4 linked regions of the Drosophila melanogaster genome follow. The protein of the gene in region 1 interacts with the protein of each later gene in a pairwise test. Each region holds a gene or a part of one and is shown in the gene's direction. Other genes may lie near its edges.

The links.
Region 2: the proteins of Arf6 (region 1) and CG6118 interact in a two-hybrid assay, tested with the Drosophila melanogaster proteins (one large-scale study listed by BioGRID).
Region 3: the proteins of Arf6 (region 1) and Nfs1 interact in a two-hybrid assay, tested with the Drosophila melanogaster proteins (one large-scale study listed by BioGRID).
Region 4: the proteins of Arf6 (region 1) and Rlip interact in a two-hybrid assay, tested with the Drosophila melanogaster proteins (one large-scale study listed by BioGRID).

What each region holds. Positions count from the first base shown.
Region 1 is NT_033778.4:15,320,660-15,325,996, forward strand, and holds Arf6 (ADP ribosylation factor 6), read left to right. Parts: upstream 1-1,841; 5' UTR 1,842-2,053; exon of another isoform or gene 2,054-2,082; intron 2,083-2,143; exon of another isoform or gene 2,144-2,371; intron 2,372-2,464; 5' UTR 2,465-2,482; intron 2,483-2,789; 5' UTR 2,790-2,824; coding exon 2,825-2,906; intron 2,907-3,185; coding exon 3,186-3,488; intron 3,489-3,542; coding exon 3,543-3,685; 3' UTR 3,686-4,831; downstream 4,832-5,337. Other genes in the region: CG8155 (uncharacterized protein), read right to left, coding at 1-1,229, 1,317-1,361; CG8157 (uncharacterized protein), read right to left, coding at 5,302-5,337. UniProt on the Drosophila melanogaster protein: GTP-binding protein involved in protein trafficking; may modulate vesicle budding and uncoating within the Golgi apparatus. Promotes cell movement and remodeling of the actin cytoskeleton during compound eye morphogenesis.
Region 2 is NT_033777.3:15,431,690-15,436,719, reverse strand, and holds the start of CG6118 (uncharacterized protein), read left to right. Parts: upstream 1-1,981; 5' UTR 1,982-2,535; coding exon 2,536-2,602; intron 2,603-5,030.
Region 3 is NT_033779.5:11,998,059-12,001,789, forward strand, and holds Nfs1 (Nfs1 cysteine desulfurase), read left to right. Parts: upstream 1-1,595; 5' UTR 1,596-1,666; coding exon 1,667-1,796; intron 1,797-1,854; coding exon 1,855-3,113; 3' UTR 3,114-3,186; downstream 3,187-3,731. Other genes in the region: Hacd1 (3-hydroxyacyl-CoA dehydratase 1), read right to left, coding at 3,356-3,731. UniProt on the Drosophila melanogaster protein: Catalyzes the removal of elemental sulfur from cysteine to produce alanine. It supplies the inorganic sulfur for iron-sulfur (Fe-S) clusters.
Region 4 is NT_033777.3:21,015,698-21,021,253, forward strand, and holds Rlip (Ral interacting protein), read left to right. Parts: upstream 1-1,986; 5' UTR 1,987-2,080; coding exon 2,081-2,177; intron 2,178-2,244; coding exon 2,245-2,377; intron 2,378-2,432; coding exon 2,433-3,317; intron 3,318-3,747; coding exon 3,748-4,510; 3' UTR 4,511-5,056; downstream 5,057-5,556. Other genes in the region: CG5697 (uncharacterized protein), read left to right, coding at 588-730, 804-1,062. UniProt on the Drosophila melanogaster protein: Participates in receptor endocytosis during interphase, is also involved in mitotic processes when endocytosis is switched off.

The sequences.
Region 1 (5,337 bases):
AACTCCCGCTTTAGCTCCAGCAGTAGCCAACGGTAACAGAAAAGTAAGTCGTCCGCTTGCTGCGACTTGAGGTACTCCCAGAACTCAGGATCATAAAAACTTAGCGCCTCCGTTAGGTGAGCAAATTTCTGAGTCATTGCAATCCCATCCAGCATGAAGTTTCCACGCATACGTGACATTATCGCACAAAAGCAGATGTAGGCCTGTGCCTCGTCGTTCATGGTAACCAGTAGCGGGGAAGCAATGTCCGACATGCCTTGACAATATGAGACCGATGGATGGTTTAGTGCATATGTGGTGAGGATATTGAAAAGCGCAGCGATGTTCTGATTGTCGTCGCTGCCTGCATAAAATGGATGCAGGCGGTCCGTGCGGAGAACATCCTTCTTTACCATGCTCGTTACGTAAGCCAGTTCTCCAGCCACACTGCCTCGCTTCACGGCCGCTTTCCATGTGTCTCTCAGACGACAGTACTGCTCAGACTTTCGTCGCATGAATTCCATACGCTGGTGTCCATCAAGTGCCAGTCCGTTAGCGCCACCGGGATAAACGTTAAGCAGATGTTTCCACACAACGCGCCGCAGACTGGGGTCAATGCCTCCTAGGAAGATGACCCTATGCAACTCGTCCTTGCGTTGAATCTGACCAAGTGCGTCCAGAAAGAGCCGGAACTCGCTGTCGCACATGGGCGGCCGTGGCGGTAGATTGGCCATATGCTCCTCGGATAAGTTAAACGCTTTCTGCACTATGGAGAAGGTTTTCTCCATCTGATTCAGAATGGAGCTGCCCAGTTTGGTCTGCATGTGCTGGACATATTTCTGGGAGACTCCTAAGGACTGCAGTGGTGACATAAGCTCGCGGGCGGGTACAAAAGGTGCAGGAGTTGCGGGAGCAGGCGCTCCCGTTATGGATCTACCCGGGGAGGCCTCGGTCTCACACTCCCTGACCACCGTAAATGGCTTCACATCGATCTGCAGGGTGAGGCAGGGTTCTGAGGCCGTCTGAATGGAAATGTTGTGAATCCTCAGAAAGGCGGCATCCAGATCCCAGTCGGAGCGCACGGCCAGGTAGATCTCGTTGCCCGCCGGATCAAAGGCCTTGTACTTAATGGAGAAGTCCGACTTGACATCGAAGGCCTTGGCCAGCAGGGAGTACAACACCTCCAGCGTGGTGATCTGCGGGTCCACTGAAAACTTTCGCCACTCCGGCCGAGCAGTGGGTTCGCATTTCTGTGGGCGATTTCAAAAAAATTAGATTGAGGAACACAAACTAAGCAGCCCTTTTGTTGTCTCGCCTTCTGGCCACCTTTCACTTGCCTTCACTTTCACCCGAACCGCCTCCCGGGGGCAAATGCCAGCCATGTTTTCCGAGTCTGTTCTGGTCGACGACTAACTAAGTTCCATTGTACCTCTGAGCGATGTCAGTATCGTAAGTATTGCTCAAATATAAAACAATACAAAAGAAGGAAACTGAAATCAATCGACTTGATTTCAATCATCGGTTTCAGTGTGGCCGCCCTAGGGCTTTGTAAGTTCACCAGGGCTACATTAAAATACCAAATCACTAAATACACAAAACAAAAATTTTTAAAATTAAAAAAAATTAACAAATTGTTGAACGTACGAGGAGAATATATCAGCTACATTGTTTGCTAAATTAATATGAATAATAAATGAATATAAGAAAATAAATCTTTTTCAATTTTGAATTGCAAAAGTAATAACTTATTGGCCAAAAAATCACGATATCCCCGCCAGTCACCGTTTTTCATCTGATAAATTCAGTATTTTTGGTATTTATCCTCCGCATTCTTTGCATTTTTTAGCGTATTTTCTGGAATTCCCGAAGATCTTGTTCCGCTCTGCGCTAACGGGCACATTGCTTCGTGTATGTGTATATAAATACAAGAAGATTAGTGCAAAATTGTTGTTGTTAGTTATAGTTTTTTGGCCGCCGTGTGCTAGCAAATGCATTTTATGCCCCGGCCCGCGCACTTTGGCACTACATGTTAACGGATTTCAGGCTGGCGTGGAACGAATTGGGCTGGAAAGCGGTGCGTAACGGCGGTCGTCGGAGACTTGGGTGTGTATACATGTGTATGTGTGTTACGGGCGTGTTTGTGACGTAGGCAAGCAGCAGCGAGAGAGCGAGCGAAATTCCGTAGAATCCGAAAACCATCCGATATCGTTGCTCCCAAGCCGGCTTTACTGGGTCGTCGAGGGGTGCGGTGGCTGTTCAGGGGGCGGGGGTGGAGCGGTCGGATCCACCCGCCCATTCAGTGGAGCCAGCGATAAGCCCGCAATTGAGATAACTCTGCCTCAATTTGCGAGACACTATAGTGTGTTTATCTGTCCAATTGTACTTCCTATGTGTAAGCATGTGTGCGTGTGTTTGTGTGTGCGACTGTGTGCTGCAAGCTCTTCACTGATAAATTCTGCCTCTCCACTTTTTTCTCGCTTTTTAGCAACGAGCTGATGACAATGTAAGTGAAATTATTATGCAAAATAATGGTCTTAGCTTCCGCCGTCGTACAAGCTCTATATGGCCACCAAATTGCCTGTGCCCGCCGTATGTGTACATATGTAGCTACATTTGTATGTTCATATATCACTTACGCGCCTTCGCGCGACGGCGTTCTTATATCATAAATTGATATGTTAACTGCAAACTGTATTACAATGGCCCTATTATCTGGAAATTCACTGACCCTGCCCTGAATCTCGCCCAGCTATTCTTATCGATATGCTTATTTGGAAGACCTCGCCAACTCTACTCGAACTGTTTTTCAGATTGGCTAAGGTTTAATGGATGACACATCAGCACCATGGGAAAGTTACTATCAAAAATTTTCGGCAACAAGGAAATGCGAATTCTCATGCTCGGACTGGACGCGGCTGGAAAAACAAGTAAGCACATAAACAATAAAGGGTTCTCGAATTCGATTGTGGGCCTGATTAGTACCCATTAGTTTCATCAGTTTCCTAAGTGGAAACCAATCCCATTTAAAAAATACTCTTGAGGCGAGGCAATTATTGTTTTGTTTTTATTCTTATTGTACTTTGAAAAAATGTACAATATAAAGACCTTTCAATACGTACACCAGTACTATCACTAATCGAATTCGAGCTATTTTGTTTATACATCCTTTGCGTGTCTAAAGTAATATTGTTTTTGTCCACCCACAGCGATTCTGTACAAACTGAAACTTGGCCAATCTGTTACAACGATACCCACTGTGGGCTTTAATGTGGAAACCGTCACCTATAAGAATGTCAAGTTCAATGTGTGGGACGTCGGTGGGCAGGATAAGATTCGACCGCTATGGCGACACTATTACACGGGTACACAGGGTCTGATCTTCGTCGTGGATTGTGCGGATCGGGATCGGATAGACGAGGCGCGCACGGAGCTGCATAGGATAATTAACGATAGGGAGATGCGCGACGCCATCATACTGATATTTGCTAACAAGCAGGATCTGCCTGATGGTTAGTATAGTGCTCAGCCAATTGTTTCCATCCGCTTATTGTTCTCTCTTGCAGCAATGAAACCCCATGAAATCCAGGAAAAACTAGGTTTAACTAGAATAAGAGATCGCAATTGGTATGTACAACCATCATGTGCCACATCCGGCGATGGCCTGTCCGAGGGCCTCATTTGGTTAACGTCGAACCATAAGTTATGAGAATCGTAATCGAGCATTTTCTTATATGTATGTATATGGCATGTATTATTCGAAGCGAAGCAAAAGCGAAAATATTCTATTTTATTTATACAAAGAAAACCAACCGCAAGCGCATAGTAAAAACTCAATTCGTAAAAACGAACGTACATAAATTACAAATGTTAAAAATGGTATATAGAAGTCAGATATATATAGTAATTATATATACTCTCAATTAACCAACCAATATTCTCACTAGTAAAAATACACATACCTACAAAATAAAAGAAGCATCAAAATAAGCAGCCGGTAAATATCCGTAAAGTAAATTATGCGTGAAGCACAGAGACATAAAGCAAAACATCAACGGAGATTAGCCTTAAGTAAGTTTTTCTTGTAAATTATATTGATGAGACACGTAAGCAATAAGTTGAAAGCTTGTTTATTGCAACTGTTACTATATTTGACTTGAGCAAGGGTGTAACGAGTCTTAAATAAATTGTAAATAAATATTCAAATTAAAGCCCATATACAACAACAAACGAAATAAAAGAAAACACCGAACAAACAATTGAACAAACCTATAGATTGCTATTTAGATTAAAACTGAGTCTTCAAAATATAATGAAATAGTAACTGTGCCTTCCTCAATGTGTGTCTATGATCCCTCATTATTTTCCCCACTCCAACAGCTAATTTTCTCAATCTGATATCCTTCGAGACGAAGAAGGTCCCTGGATTTGCGAGAAAGGCATATTCTGACTTCAGTGTCAAACGCATTTGGTTTGTATTGTGCGCTCAATTTGAAAGGTAAACATGCCACATTCAGTGCCATAATTTGCAGGGTAAATGAGCCTGGGTATACCTGAGCATGATTTGTTCAACACGGCGTTCAATAATTTACCTTTGTTTTGCAATCATCCCCGAATTGTCCGAAAAACTCCTTGGTACATCCTTGCATGAATAATATAATTTATTTTTTGTGGGTGTATGTCTTGTTTTATACCTTTACCGTTTTTATCAAAACCAACCTATTCATAATACCCCGTAATATCTCAGTATCTAAGATTTTTGTTGCTGAATTATAATTATAAATTTTAAGTTATGAAACAAATCATAGGTTTCAAAGTTATTTTCTGTAAATATGTTTTTGTATTATTATTGTATTATAATAATAAAAATATATAATAATTAGTAGAGTCACGTTTTACAGATGAAAAGGTTGTGATGAAGATGACGAGTTCCCAAATAAACGTCATCTAGCGATCCACGAAGTGACGAAGCGCTTATTGCCAAGATAATCTTGTTAATATTCTCACATGAAGTGACACATCCTATGAAATTTGTATGTAGAATTAAACGATTCCGACTTAATAAAGTGTATATATTGTTAATATATATATTATTAGTCAGGATCAATAGCCGAGTCAATCTTTTCTGTGTGCAGAATCCCAGAGTGTAGTATTTCCTTGGTTTTGCGTCTCCTCAAGATGCGTGTTTGTTCTTTCCTTCGTTTGCGAGTTATCTCCAGGATCCGTGGTCTCCTTAATATTTGGTTCACGAAAACAGCAGGTATATGTTGGAAAAAACTATTTATTTTTTGTTTACGATTTTAAGACGATTAAGAAATTGGGGTATTAGAAGCGCCCATGATGTCCTCCATGGTGTCTGTG
Region 2 (5,030 bases), on another chromosome or scaffold:
TTATTCTTTACCTTGCCTTGTCTTTGTGGCTGGGCGCTTAATGCGTTTGGCATCGTTTTCGGCATCTTCGCTCGTTCTGCCTCGCCCTCTGCACAGCTTCTTCGCCGTCTTCTTAATAATTTTATGTTAATTATTAAAAAGTGAAAATACGATTTTGGCTTTTGGGGTCTCGACTCTTAGCTGCATTAATCATTTAGCCGCGATACATCTTAGCTCGTTTCTTTTTCCCCCAGCAGTTCTGGCCCGGTCGAGATTTATATAACGAACCAGCCGTCCAATTAAATCTATTAGCTCTCCTATTGACAAAGATCATCGTTTGGCAATAAAATGCGTTTTCGTTTTCAGTAGAAACAAAATATTCCGTTGCTCATTAGCATGTAAATACAAATTCGGGCCTATTAGTTGGTCGAAAGTCGTGGTCATGCGACACAAGATTGAGCACTGGATGACTAAATGGATCTTCGACAGGTTCTGCATCCCTACTTGAAGTGGATGTGGATACGGTATACTCGATGTATCCGCAATGGAAAGATGATTTACATCTCTATATGTAACAGTCGGTGGCTTTATCACACAAACTTTCACCCAGCTGAGTAAAATATGTTAAAAGAATCGATCAATCGGCAACGGTGTGAACTCACAAGCTTAGAATACTGCCTATACAACTTTACAACATTGAAATTCTCGCCGACAATTTATCAAGCTTGGGAAAATCTCGAAAGAAATAAAAAGCTGACAAATGCCGAGTAAATAGAGGCCTACCACTGTGCCCCACGGCGGCAGCGGGGCAATTCAATCCAAGTACAATGGCCAGGGGAAGTGTCTAATGCAGACATCTTCTACATTAGAAAGTTTTCTACAACTACAACCAGCAGGGCAGCATCGCGCATCCGAGTGTAAGACAAAAGAAACAACTGTAAGTGCAGAGAGCCCCGGCTCCCCGAAAAGCACCCAAGAGCCCCAGCAAGACCACTCCAAATGGAGCCTGCTGAAGACAGAGCTTTGCAACGCTAACTGCGCATGGGTAGACCAGTAGAAAGAGCAGTACGAGCACCAGACCCAGTCCCAGTACCAGTACCAGTACCAGTACCAGTACCAGTACTAGTACCGCCAGCAACAATGAGAAATGCAGCGGTGAAAGATTTCCAAATGCAACTCACTGCAACTGCAACCCACTGGTGAGGCGATTCAAGTTGATTTCTGCCCGGCTCGCTGGGTGCTGCTCTCCACATTATCTATCCGTTGGCAATTAAAGTATAATTAAGAATCTAATGGAGTTTCACTCTCCTTGTGCGTAATTAGCCGTGCGGTTTATGCAAAGAAAAGTAAAAACGGCAGCAACAATGGAAAAGCGAACGGAATCAGATTGCCAGCGAAACGGGGGCCAAAAATGTGCGACAAGAAGAAGAAAAAACGCTTAAATTATATAATTATAAAAAAAATCTTGACAAAAATAGACGAAAGTTGTAATTTTCAGCGCTTGGCAAACACGAGCAGGGGGTGGGGTGGAGGAAGTGGGAAAAGCTGGTCTAAGAAGGCAGCGATGAAAGTTAAAGTTATAAAAGCAGCTGGGGAACGCACTGGAATCGAAACGATGGTAAGCTGTAAATAATTAACCATTTCGGCTTTGGTGTGCGAGAGTGAGCTCCCAAGGCGAAACTCTTACTCAGAGCACATGGCAAACACAAACGGCGGACCAAAACAAAAGACTTCAACGAAGAACCAAACTTGCTATGGCCCGTGTGTGTGTGAGTGCGCTCGAACGTGCATGTATGCGCGAGAGAAAGAAATGGTAAAAGCACTCTTGAGCCGAAGAACCAACGGCAGAGCTTCCACCTTGCAGGTGTGTGAGTGCGGCAAGCGAAAGCGTCGCTGCCGCTGAGAAACGAAATGGAATGGCATGAAATTTCTTAGCGATCTTTGAGGATAAGCGCTGGTTTCACTGCGCGCTGCCGCACAGACGTCTACCGCGTTTCGAGGCAGACGTTACGTTCCACCGTTCGGCGCGCAAGAATCGCCAGACCAGCTCGTAGAAAGTCGCGCCTGCGCAGAAACTTCATAGCAAGAAAATCATATAAGAAAAATACTCGAAAAGAAAACAAGATCATATGAAAAGTGTGGAATAGCAACAGCATCATGCTGCCCAAGTGTAATCAAAATGTTATCCTCTTTTGACTCTGTGGTTTTGCGATCTTGAATTTCACTCCCCTCTCTCCGGATTTCGAAGACCACGCATCCGTATTTATTAACTGCCTTGTGTTCTCTGCATATCAAAACGCAAAAGTGAAAGTGATTTTTCGGTGTTTCGGTGCGTGAGTGCCACTTGAATGACAAATATTGATATGCTACAATGAAAACCGGCCACCGCCAGCCAACCAAATAAGCTTCGAGAAGAGAAACTATCAAAGAAAAAAACATATATTTTGTGTGCGCCCATTGGATTACGGAAAGTTCCCGAACAGCTCAAGGATACCAATCGGGATTGGAGTACACCTAGCACACAGCACTATTATCATCAAACAATTGGATTTGGATATGGCTGCCAACGAGATTATGACACCCACAGTCAATGCGAATTGTCAATACTCGACCAGATATTGTTGTAAGTTGCCTTGAACTTGGCTAGCTACTAACAAGCAGTAGTTACTAACTACTAGATACTTTGGGTTTAGTAGGGAATAACTATAAATCCAAATATTCTAAGCTAGTTTTACCAATAAGAAAAGTAACAAACGCAAAAGGCGTTTCGGATCCGTTCGAGTCTGGATGTGCCCCATTGGAGTGCAGAATGCCAAGCGAAAGCAACAAACAAACAAACGTTCGAACCAAACCGTGCACTCGGGCAACCTGCGCAGCCAGAAAGAAATTTTCAAAACAAAAAGCAAAAGCTGCTTTTTTTATAGAAAGTTTCCCCAGCAAGGGGACCCAACTGGCTGGAGTTGCAGCCAGTTTGGAGCTTGAAGCTTGAAGTTGGGAGTTTCGAGCTACATGCTACATGCGATGCTATATGCGATGTGTTGCCGTCGTTGAGCATCGGCAGTGACTAGTTGTTTTGTTGCTTCTGCTTCTGCAGTATCTGTATCTTTGGCTGGCAATGTATCTGTATCTCTGACTCTGACTCTGCTTCTGCCTCGGTCTCGGTCTTTTGGCCTGGCTTTAGCTACAGCTTTAGCTTTGGCTTTGGCAGCTCGCTTCTGCCGCTGCTACGACACGAATATTAATAGGTGAAAGTTGTTGCTTCGTTTCTTCGTTTTTCTTTCGCCGTCGCAGTAGCCGTCGCTGCCACTGCCGACGTCGCTGCCACTTCTACAGCCACAATGAATAATAAAAGAAAGAAAGATCCCTTTTCGGGTACAGAATTTATGTTTCCTTTCAGACATTCAGTAATTTCTCCTCGTTGCCAGTAATGTTGGTTTCTCAGGCGAATCTCTGAAAGAAAACCTTACTGTCTTCTAAAATTTTAAAGATACTTATATATATATATATATATATACATTTTTTTTTACTTAAAGCCTTTACATACATTACAAACATTTTGATACTTGTCACATATTATTTGAACATACGTATATCGTATTAGATTTTCTTTCTCTGTGGGTGAATGTTGTTCGTCGGCTTCGAGTCCTGTCATAAGCTGACCCACTTTCTGGTACATTTCATTGCCATGCAAATGGATTTGAGCACAAACCAGAAATGCATATCCCTACAAGCGCAGCCTTCAAGCTTGTTTACCACTGGCATTTACCTTTTACCATTACCATCTACCATCTACCATTACCATTCCGAGCAAACAAAAAGCACAGTTTCTTGCTGTCGTTTTGGCATTTTCATTTCCATTATAATTAAGCGATTACATAAGCCCAGTTTGTTTACAAACTCGGCTGGGCAGGTTCGCGTTCGTTTCGAGTTCAATGTCCCATCGTTGGGTCGGTCCCCGGATTGCAACAGTTCCTGCGCGACGCGTGTGGATCTCTCTCGAACGTATACGTAATATTTGTATTTGATTTGCTTCTGCTCTAGGGCTAGCTAGATTTCGATTTCGATGTGCTCGCCACACCAATTTATGAGCGAGCAGTTAGTTTCATAAATAATTTGTATGTCTGACTCCCTGGCACGCGCAATTATCGCGAATGACGCATCGGATTTTCTGTTGGCCAAAAATCGATGCCAAAACTCAGCTGAAGTACATAACAAGAAAATAGTTTAAATGCTGGCGTTGGCGAGCAGAGTGTTGGAGTTTTGGAGTGTTGGAGTGGAATTGGAATTGGATTGGAGTGGAGGTTGCCCAATAATGCCGTTAGATGATAAACCGCTACAAATTATTTGTATATATCACCCCACCGCCATGCACACATCCATTTCTTCAGTGTTATTTCTTCGATTGTTGTTTCTGTTTTCTATTTTCGTTTCGCATGAACATTATGCAATCTGCCATCTTGTATCTGGTCATTTGTTTCGAAGACATAGGAAAGTCACAGATACCATCGATAGCATCAGATCTGCAGATGATCAGATCGTATCTGACCAATGCCATTAGCCACTAGACACTTCTGCATATTATGAAAGTGAAAATACGTAGTGGTTAGTGGGTACTAACCAATTATGCTGGGAAGCCATTAGAGCTAAATATTTGGGGCTTTCTACTCTGGAACTTGCATGAATTTCTCACATTTTTGCGCTATTCAGCTAACTTCCTACTTCGACACGTAGCCAGCGTTATGCAATTGCTTATTAATTCTTTTATAATGCCTGCGTTGTGGGTTAGTGCTTTTTCGGCGGCCGTTTAATTGGCCATCCGACGTGCGAGCAAAAGTTGGTAAATAGATAGAAGTGCGGCTGGAAGTCAGGAAACGCTTCAGATGTACGACCATTTGAATTTCAGTAGCTGAAGGCAGATGTGGCCGTTCGAAAAGCTTTTATGCAATCCAAAGAAAAGACTCTTGGCTTAGCAACCAAAAATATATTTAAAAAAAACCAACGTAACTGCCCAGGGGATCGTAAACAAAAAGACAGTGATCGATAGGGGAAAT
Region 3 (3,731 bases), on another chromosome or scaffold:
TCGTTGAGATCCTCCATGCGACTGTAAACTGAGGACTGGATTTCGTTGGTCGGTTGAGCTTGCTGCTGCTGCTGCTGCTGCATCATTTGCTGTTGCTGTTGCATTTGAAATTGTTGTTGCTGCTGCATTTGTTGCTATTGCATCTGCTGCTGCTGATGCATTTGTTGCTGTTGCATCTGTTGCTGCTGCTGCATCTGTTGCTGCTGCTGCATCTGTTGTTGATTAGGGAATGCAGATGCTGCTGCTTGAGCAAATAATCCGGAGGCAGCTGCCTGCTGCTGCTGTTGTAGTTGCTGAGAAGCCTGAGTAAACATTCCGCCCATATTTTGGCTTGCGGCTTGGCCAAAGATTCCCGTCGACTGCGGTTGCTGCTGCTGCTGTTGGAAACCACCGAAAGGATTAGGATTCACTGGCTGAGCTTGCACCTGAACCTGCGCCTGGGCGAAAATGTTGCCCCCTTGGAAAGCTTGTGCAGCAGGCTGCAGCTGTTGCTGCTGTGGCTGTCCAAAGACACTTTGTGCACCTGTTGCCGCAGCTCCTACACCAAAAATGCTATTCCTTGCATTGGCATTGCTAATCGTTCCGCCGAAAATGCTATTGGTGTTGCTGGCTTGGCTTGTGGCATTCCCAAATATATTTCCCGCACTCAGCGTGGGCTTTCCAAAAATGGATGCAGATGTATTGGCGGCAGCCGGAGCTGCTGCAGCGAAGGGATTACTGGACTGCTGAGGGGCAGCCGACACAGTGCCGCCCTCCGGCGTCTCGTGGATCTTGATCATCATTTCCAGGACCTGCGGCGACATCTGAAGCATGGTCTTCATCTTGTTGTTAGCCTCTAGGACCTCACGGTTAAACTGTTGGCTGAACTGTTCGAATTGGTTTTGTCGTTTGGCCTCGTAACACATGAACCGCACCTCCTCGAAGGATTGGTCCTGAATAAAGTTGGGGAAATTCGCTTTGTCCTTAAAGGGTCCGTAGGCGGACAAAGGCCACATCTTGCCATTGAGGCTGGATTCCATGTCGGCTTTGAGATATTGCCTAAAATAATTAAGTTATTAGTTCATCTGCATAGTTTTAATATCAATGTACTCACTTAACATCGAAATGCTCGTTGTTGCACTTTGCGCCATAGCGGCAGGAGCCTTGTTGAAAGAACCGGCAGACAACCATATTTAAATTTGATTTTAATTTTTGCCTATTTCCTATATTTATTATTTCAAAACTGCTTCAACTTTTGTACTTTTGTTTATAATTGTCTTACTTTGCGTATTGAGTATTCTTTGAGTATTTTATGGCTCACTGAGAAAAATATACCGTGCCTATGCGCGCAATTTCGTGAATTCGTAACTTAAGTTCGCTGAATGATTAAGATAATTTTGTAAGCAAACATATTTAAGATGAAAACTGGTTTTTGAAAATATAGTTCCTTGTAAATTATACATTAAGTGCGAATATATCTGAAAAATATTGGTTTCTTGCACAGATGCTATTCATTTTTCATATGTTCAAAGAAATTCAGAAACTTGCTTCTGCATAATCGAATCAGATAATTTTAAAGTGAATTCCGGAGTCCTTTGGTATATCTCGTGCCGCCGAATACGGTCCCACTGATTGTGAAATCCGTGATAACGAATTTTAACACCAGAATTTCTAGGATTCCATCAGAATGCAAAAAGTGCTGGGACGCATCCAGGCGCAGGTCCTCCGCTCCCGGGCGACGAATGCATTAGCCAATGTGGTTAGACACGAGGCCACCTCCTCCAGGACAGCGGCTAAACCAGCCGCCACATCCAAAGGTAAGCGGATCCTCCAAGATGCACAGTTACCGCTTACCAAAATCGTATTCGTTCGTAGAATTCCGGGAGAGACAGGTGCGATTCAACATAAAGAACGAACAGACCGAGGGTAGACCACTTTACCTGGATGCCCAGGCCACCACTCCAATGGACCCACGTGTATTGGACGCTATGCTCCCCTATCTGACCAATTTCTACGGAAATCCCCACTCCCGTACCCACGCCTACGGTTGGGAAACAGAGTCCGCTGTAGAAAAGGCCCGCGAGCAGGTGGCCACCCTGATTGGCGCCGATCCCAAGGAGATCATCTTCACATCCGGCGCCACCGAGTCGAATAATATCGCAGTAAAGGGTGTTGCCCGTTTCTACGGCACTAAGAAGCGACACGTGATCACCACCCAGACGGAGCACAAGTGCGTGCTGGACTCTTGTCGTGCTTTAGAGAACGAGGGCTTTAAAGTCACGTACCTGCCAGTGCTGGCCAACGGACTCATCGACCTCCAGCAACTGGAGGAAACCATCACATCGGAGACCTCGCTGGTGTCCATTATGACGGTGAATAACGAAATCGGCGTACGGCAACCCGTCGATGAGATTGGCAAACTGTGCCGGTCTCGCCGAGTATTCTTTCACACGGATGCCGCTCAGGCGGTGGGAAAGGTCCCGCTGGACGTTAACGCCATGAACATTGACCTGATGTCTATATCCGGCCACAAAATCTACGGCCCAAAGGGTGTAGGCGCCCTGTATGTCCGACGAAGGCCGAGGGTTCGCCTCGAGCCCATCCAAAGTGGCGGCGGCCAGGAGCGTGGCCTAAGGAGCGGAACGGTTCCAGCCCCGCTCGCCGTGGGATTGGGAGCTGCTGCGGAACTTTCTTTGCGTGAGATGGACTACGACAAGAAATGGGTGGACTTTCTATCCAATCGCCTGCTGGACAGGATTTCAAGTGCCTTGCCGCATGTCATCAGGAATGGTGATGCCAAAGCCACATACAATGGTTGCCTGAATTTGTCGTTTGCCTATGTCGAGGGCGAGTCACTACTGATGGCTCTTAAGGACGTGGCCCTGAGCAGTGGGTCCGCCTGCACCTCCGCCTCCCTGGAGCCCTCCTATGTTCTGCGTGCCATCGGCACCGACGAGGATCTTGCCCACAGCTCCATACGCTTTGGCATCGGGCGCTTTACCACCGTCGAGGAGGTGGACTACACCGCCGATAAGTGCATCAAGCATGTGGAGCGACTGCGCGAGATGTCGCCGCTGTGGGAGATGGTCCAAGAGGGCATCGACCTAAAGACCATCCAATGGTCGCAGCATTAATGTACTAATATTTAAGCCGTTACTGTTACACCACACTTTGAAAGCGAAGGGAAAATAAATTTGTTGGAAGAGTATCTAGGTTTATTTGTACACAAAACCACTTATAACTAAGCTTAGTCCGAACGAATGTGCTTGTGTAAGAGGTGAGGCAAGAGAGACCCCAAAAAGCGAAAACGGCTCAAAGTGCGACGGCCAATGATATGCAAATGATGCAATAATTTGCATTCGCCGCTGGTCAAGGTTCAGTTGGCCTTCTTCTGGGGTGAGCCGCTGGATCCACCGCCCAGGATCTTACGGCGCTGGGCGAACATGTGCAAGTACAACTGCGGGAAGATGGGGATGTAGCCGAGCATGACGATCCACAGGAATCCAAAATACGAGAAGGTGGCGTTCCACTTGTTGGGCATCACCACACTCCACACGCTGTTCTCACGGGCATAGCTCTGGGCCCACCAGAAGCACAGCAGCTCCCCAGTCACGCCGATGGGATACAGGACAATGAATGTGGTGTAGCGCAGGAACACCACAAAATGCGGCACCACCTTGACGATGTTCAGAGCGTAATATCCATATCGGATGATCTCAGTGATGGCCCAGGCCAGCAGGGCGATGGGCAGA
Region 4 (5,556 bases), on another chromosome or scaffold:
CTTATCCTTATCGCTATGGGAAACTGGGGGAGGCGACTTCTCTGCTGCGGTTATGTAATGCCCCAAAAAAGCGCCAGATAAGACCAACCGCCGGTTGCGGAAGATGAGCGGATCGCCACGGCCCATGGAGATAAAGTTGTTTACAGGAATCCGGACCGAGCACAAAGACAAACAGCAATGGCAATAAAGCAATGGGACAGAGAGACAACCCAGCTGCAAGCTAATTAAAGTTGCGACAGAACGAAGCCAGTCGCCAGTAGTCCGCCAGTTGCGAATGGAGCAATTTCCAGCCGGGAGTGTTTGCAATCCTGGTACTATCCCGTGAGAAGGGCTGAAAAAGGACTGTAAAATACCCAGTTCCCATCTATAGTTATCTGTCGTGCCTGCAAGGGGCTACGGCAACTTTGGTGGTATTGACAAAAAAAAAACGAAAGATACATGTCACAGTTATCATATATAAATTATCAGTCATTTGAATAAATCATTATTCATTATTATTATTATTTTCACTTCTTGTTACAGATAAAGTTACATAAACTGCGTATACCCTCTTGTTCGGCACACATCCAGGGTACCACACGGCAAATATGTCCTGCAACGAGAAGACAGCGCTTCTGGCAACGCAACAAGGACATCAGCAGCGGCAGCAGCGGCAGCAGCAGCACATCATTGTCGTGCCCGCGACGGGGAAGGATCCAAAGGATTATGAGCCCATTTTCACAACTGCTGAGTAAACGCTTTCCGTCGTATTTCATTAAAAAATAACTTCGTTACACAGTGCCGCCTGCCCGCTTCTTTCGTAGCTATTCCTACGGACTGACGCTCGAGGAGCTCCTGCCCTTCGCTCTGGATCCCTGGTGGCAGGCCGTACGGCGCCTCAGCTGCGGGCTCCTGGGCCTGACTTTCCTGCTGACCCTGATTGCTGGACTGGTTATGGCCTATTCCGACAGTGTCTGTCTCCCAAATAGAGCAATTAGCAGAAACGCGACCACCACGACAACGATGGCCACGCCACTATCCTTGGCTCTCAACGGCTCCCAGCTGCTGATGGCCAGTTTATAGTGGCCGTAAGCTAATCTGTGTAGCATTTTGGAGATGCCGCAATCCACCCTGCGGAATTGCATCAGCCGCATCAGCTCGCACTATTAGCATTTGTTTGGCTTGCCGGTAATGGAGGCGACCTAATCCTCCTCCTCTCTACTGTTTACCCCTACTCAAGCTGAGTGATAAGCGATGCACCGCGGGATTGATTGGTCGTGAAATAATTATACTGATTAACTTATTTGCTACACAACCGCCTACTCGTAAAGTAAAAAGAATGCAAAAGGTATAAGGAAGCGTTTCCGTACCAATTAAGAACATTGTATCGCAAACTTATTAATTTTTATATATATACATATATATATATGAATATTACTTAAACTAATAAACGAATAGTTTTTTTTCATCGCTGTATTCTGGTTTCGGTTTCTGGGAGTTTAGAAGTTAACAAACCGCCTTATAGTTTTACAGCCCCACCCTGAAAAAATGGTTTGATTTAGTTTTATTTTATAAATAGTCTTGGCAATTTGTATACTTGTGAAAAAACATTTTCACCACGCCCACACTAGCGCGCACAATTAACAAAATCCTGTAGTTACAGAGGTGGTACTCTTGTCATTTTGGAAGTTTTATGTATTATGTAGTTTATGTATATATATAAAAAATATTTTCTTAGAATTTAAATTATTTAAAATATTATTATTATTATATTATATATTAACACATATTTATTTATTTATTTATTATATATATATATATATATATATATTAATATTATAAAAATTTAAGAGTTAGTAGCTGATCGCATTTCTGATAGTTGAGGAACTCGACTGTAGCGTTTTCTCTTGTTTCAATTTGCCTTTTTTTAAATATCTACACCGTTACTACATATTTTTTACATGACACAGTAGCGCCATCTGTGCACTTATCAGTGTTGGATAGCAGCGGCGACTTCGATTAAGCAATCGATTATTTGTTGCATATGTTGTTTACGGCAATTGTTTATATTTATTTACTGCTGGTGAAGTGATTATTCGTGATGGATTTTGACAGTCCCGAGGAGAAGGAGTTTCCCGGGCTGTACGCCTCCGAGGCGGCGGACGCTAAGTCGAGGAAGAGCAAGGAGGAGAGCGACTGTGAGTGGAGCGCAAAGATGTGGGCGTAAGCTGGGAAAAAATCAATGGGCTCACCTTGCCTTTACAGTTAGTGAGGATCACGACCATAGCAAGAAGGACTTGTTGATTGGCCGGCGCAAGGACAAGAAGGAAAAGGGCAAGGATCGAGGATACGCCGCTCTGGAGGGCGAGAGCTCGCCGGAGGAGGAGCTGGACACCAAGTGGGTGCAGGTCAGCTGACCCAGAGACAAGTAATATTTTTTCTTTTACTTCCAGAAGTCCATCCAAGTCGAAAAAGTCAAAGACCTTTAAGTTCACCAGCTCCAAGAGCAAGGAGAAGCGGGAAAAGTCGCGGGACAAGTCTGAAAAAGACTCGAAGCACGCAGAGGAGGAGCCTTCCGTCTCCCACAAGGTCAAGGAGAAAGAGCGGGATAAGGAGAAGGACCGTGATGAGCCCAAGAAGAAGGACAAGGAGGAGAAGCGCAAGGAAAAGGACAAGAAGGCTGACAAGAAGGACAAAAAGGATAAGAAGAGCAAGCAGCTGTCGCAGCAGCAGGACGACGTCTCCGCCGCGGAGGAAGTGCTGGCACTTGGGTATCCCGTCTTTGGGGTGTCCGTTAGCTTGGCGACCGAACGATCCCGCTGCCACGACGGCGTGGACATTCCCCTGGTTGTGCGCGACTGCATCGACTTCCTGCAGGATCACCTGAAGTGTGAGCAGATCTACAAGATTGAGCCCATCAAGACGCGTCTGATGCACTTCAAGCGGTTGTACAACAACCGGGAGCACGACTCCGCCGTTGATGAGCTCAACCTGCCTACCGCCTGCAGTCTGCTGAAGCTCTTCCTGCGCGAACTGCCGGAGCCACTGCTGACCACCGATCTGGTGGCCCGCTTTGAGGAGGTAGCCTCTCATCCGAAGGTAACCACGCAGCAGGCAGAGCTGCAGCAGCTGCTTGAACAATTGCCCAAGTGCAATCGCACCCTCTTGGCGTGGGTGCTGCTCCACTTCGACGCGGTGATCCAGCAGGAAAGACACAATAAGCTCAACGCTCAGTCGCTGGCTATGCTGCTCAGTCCGACGCTCCAGATGTCTCACCGACTAATGGTGGCCCTACTCTGCCACTGCAACAACTTGTTCGCGGACGTCCAGCTGATAAAGTGAGCAAACACCGGCTAGCCGGATAACAGTGGTGGGAAATATCCAAGTACCTTTGTGTTGGTAAAAGAGAAGTCCACATTTAACAACTATAGTTAAATCACAAGAACGAATCGAAGTCATAGCTCTGAAGTTAACTACTAAACTGTTAGTTTTAGTAAACTGTTAGTTTCCATATTTATCTAATGATATAAATTGTTTTTTTATATGTATAATAGGTACTTATAAGAACCCAGATAATTCCCACCACTGTTGGCAGTTGATAAGATTGCTGCTATAAAAATCGCCAGATTTAGTCGTTTATTTTGCAACCGACGATGAGCACATTACCCCGTAAACAGAAGCGCTTTCCACGTTTCGCCAGTTTTCTAATCAGGCAGAATGGCACACATTTAAACAAAGTTATCATAATACTAAATTGTCATCTCTTAGGTATGTGCCCCCTTTAACATCGACCAGCCCAAAGCTTCCGGATACGCCGGAGGACATCCAGACGGAGTTGCGCAAGCAGGACAGCCTCCTGTCCCAGATCCACAGCGAGATGAACGCCGGGTTCATTACCAAGAAACGCGAGGAACAGCTGTGGGAAGTGCAGCGCATCATTACCCAGCTGAAGCGGAAACTACGAACTTTTGAGAAGAAACAGGAAAAGACTGCGGAGGAAGTAGACAACAGCAGCAGTGCTCCGCCCGCTGTAGCCAGTGAAGATACCACTGACTCCAAACCAGCTGGAACTCCAGCCGTATCTACGAACAACAGTATTTCCCAGGAAGAGCCAAAAACCGATACACTAACTCCGAAAGATGCTCCTAACGATTTTACTATTGATCCCAGCACTGGCTTTATTTTGCTCCCCAAATCAAATCCGCACCGCGAAAATTTGCTGCGGCTCCAAATTGAATATGACGAGCTAATGGAATGGCAGAACGAACTAAAAGCACGTATCGTCGCCGAGCGCAACGAAGTCTATAGGCTCAAGCAGCTGTACGAGCAGCAGTCAATAAACAGTCAAATGGCCTCCTTGGCCTCGGGATCTCAGGCTCCCCCAGAATCCGACTATGAGCGGATAATCGAGCACTATACACGGGAGAATGCGCTGCTGGAGCACAAGAAGAATATGCTGGGCATGGAACTAAAGGAGGAACGACGGGCCTGTATTGCTCTACAAGTTGAGCTGCGGCTCCAGCAGTTTTAATGTATTAATTCGATTAATGTATTACTTGGATGGGTCAATTTGAGGGATATAACTAAGTTCCTATTCCGGAAACTTAATGGTCACATTTCCAAAGAAACATAAAAGGTCTACTAGGCAATCATAGGAGGTTTCTTAGATTCGTAGAAGACAATTCTATGTCACATATCTAAAATATTCAAATGAATAAACTTGTAAAGTTTTTGATAATTCATTTATCTGCAAACGTAGTCACTGTTCTAAACAGTGTCCTTTGTGAATTGCAATATATGAGAATTTTCAGTTCAGCTTTTAAGGAGATAAAATACTGCTAAAACATAAAACGGATTCCTCATGCCTAAAGTCAGTTTATTGTTTATTTGGAAATGAGCTAGTTTCAGACTTGACCCACCGAAATATATGTATGTATATAGGGTTACCAATTTTAAATCTCAATGTCTACTTGCGATCAAATGCTTTGTTCAAACTATAATTACTGTTAAACGGCGCAAAGCCCCAAAGAAATCTTGTTAGACAACTTTACTGCTTTCAACAATTAAATGAGAAAACAAACTCAAAATTCCCTTTTCTGTACTGAACTATTGCATCGAAATATGTCTCCTCGAAGAATTTTGTAAATGCCGGTAAAGTAGCTGCGTTTGTGTGTGCCGACAATCAAGATCCGATTTTCTAAATCGGTCTGATGACTTAATTCCAATCCGAGAAATACAGGGCACAGATTAGAAGATGTTTAGACGACGGATTGGCTGTTCGCTGGGGTGAAACGGAAATGACATCATCTCATATTACGTCTTGTCAACATTGTGATGGTCAAGGAACCGAGGTGGGCTTTGCGTGTTACGATTACTTTATTTAATATTTATTATTAATAATTTTAGAATACATTATCATTATGCATTACGTTCGGGGCGTGTTTTCTGTATTCCGCTGAAGTACAACTTAAAAATATCACACACAAATACCACGGGGGAAAGATGAGTCCTCCGGAATGCCAAACCGCGTCAACTCGCTCCCCTCCATGATTAAGTTATTTCCGCTGGACTACAGAT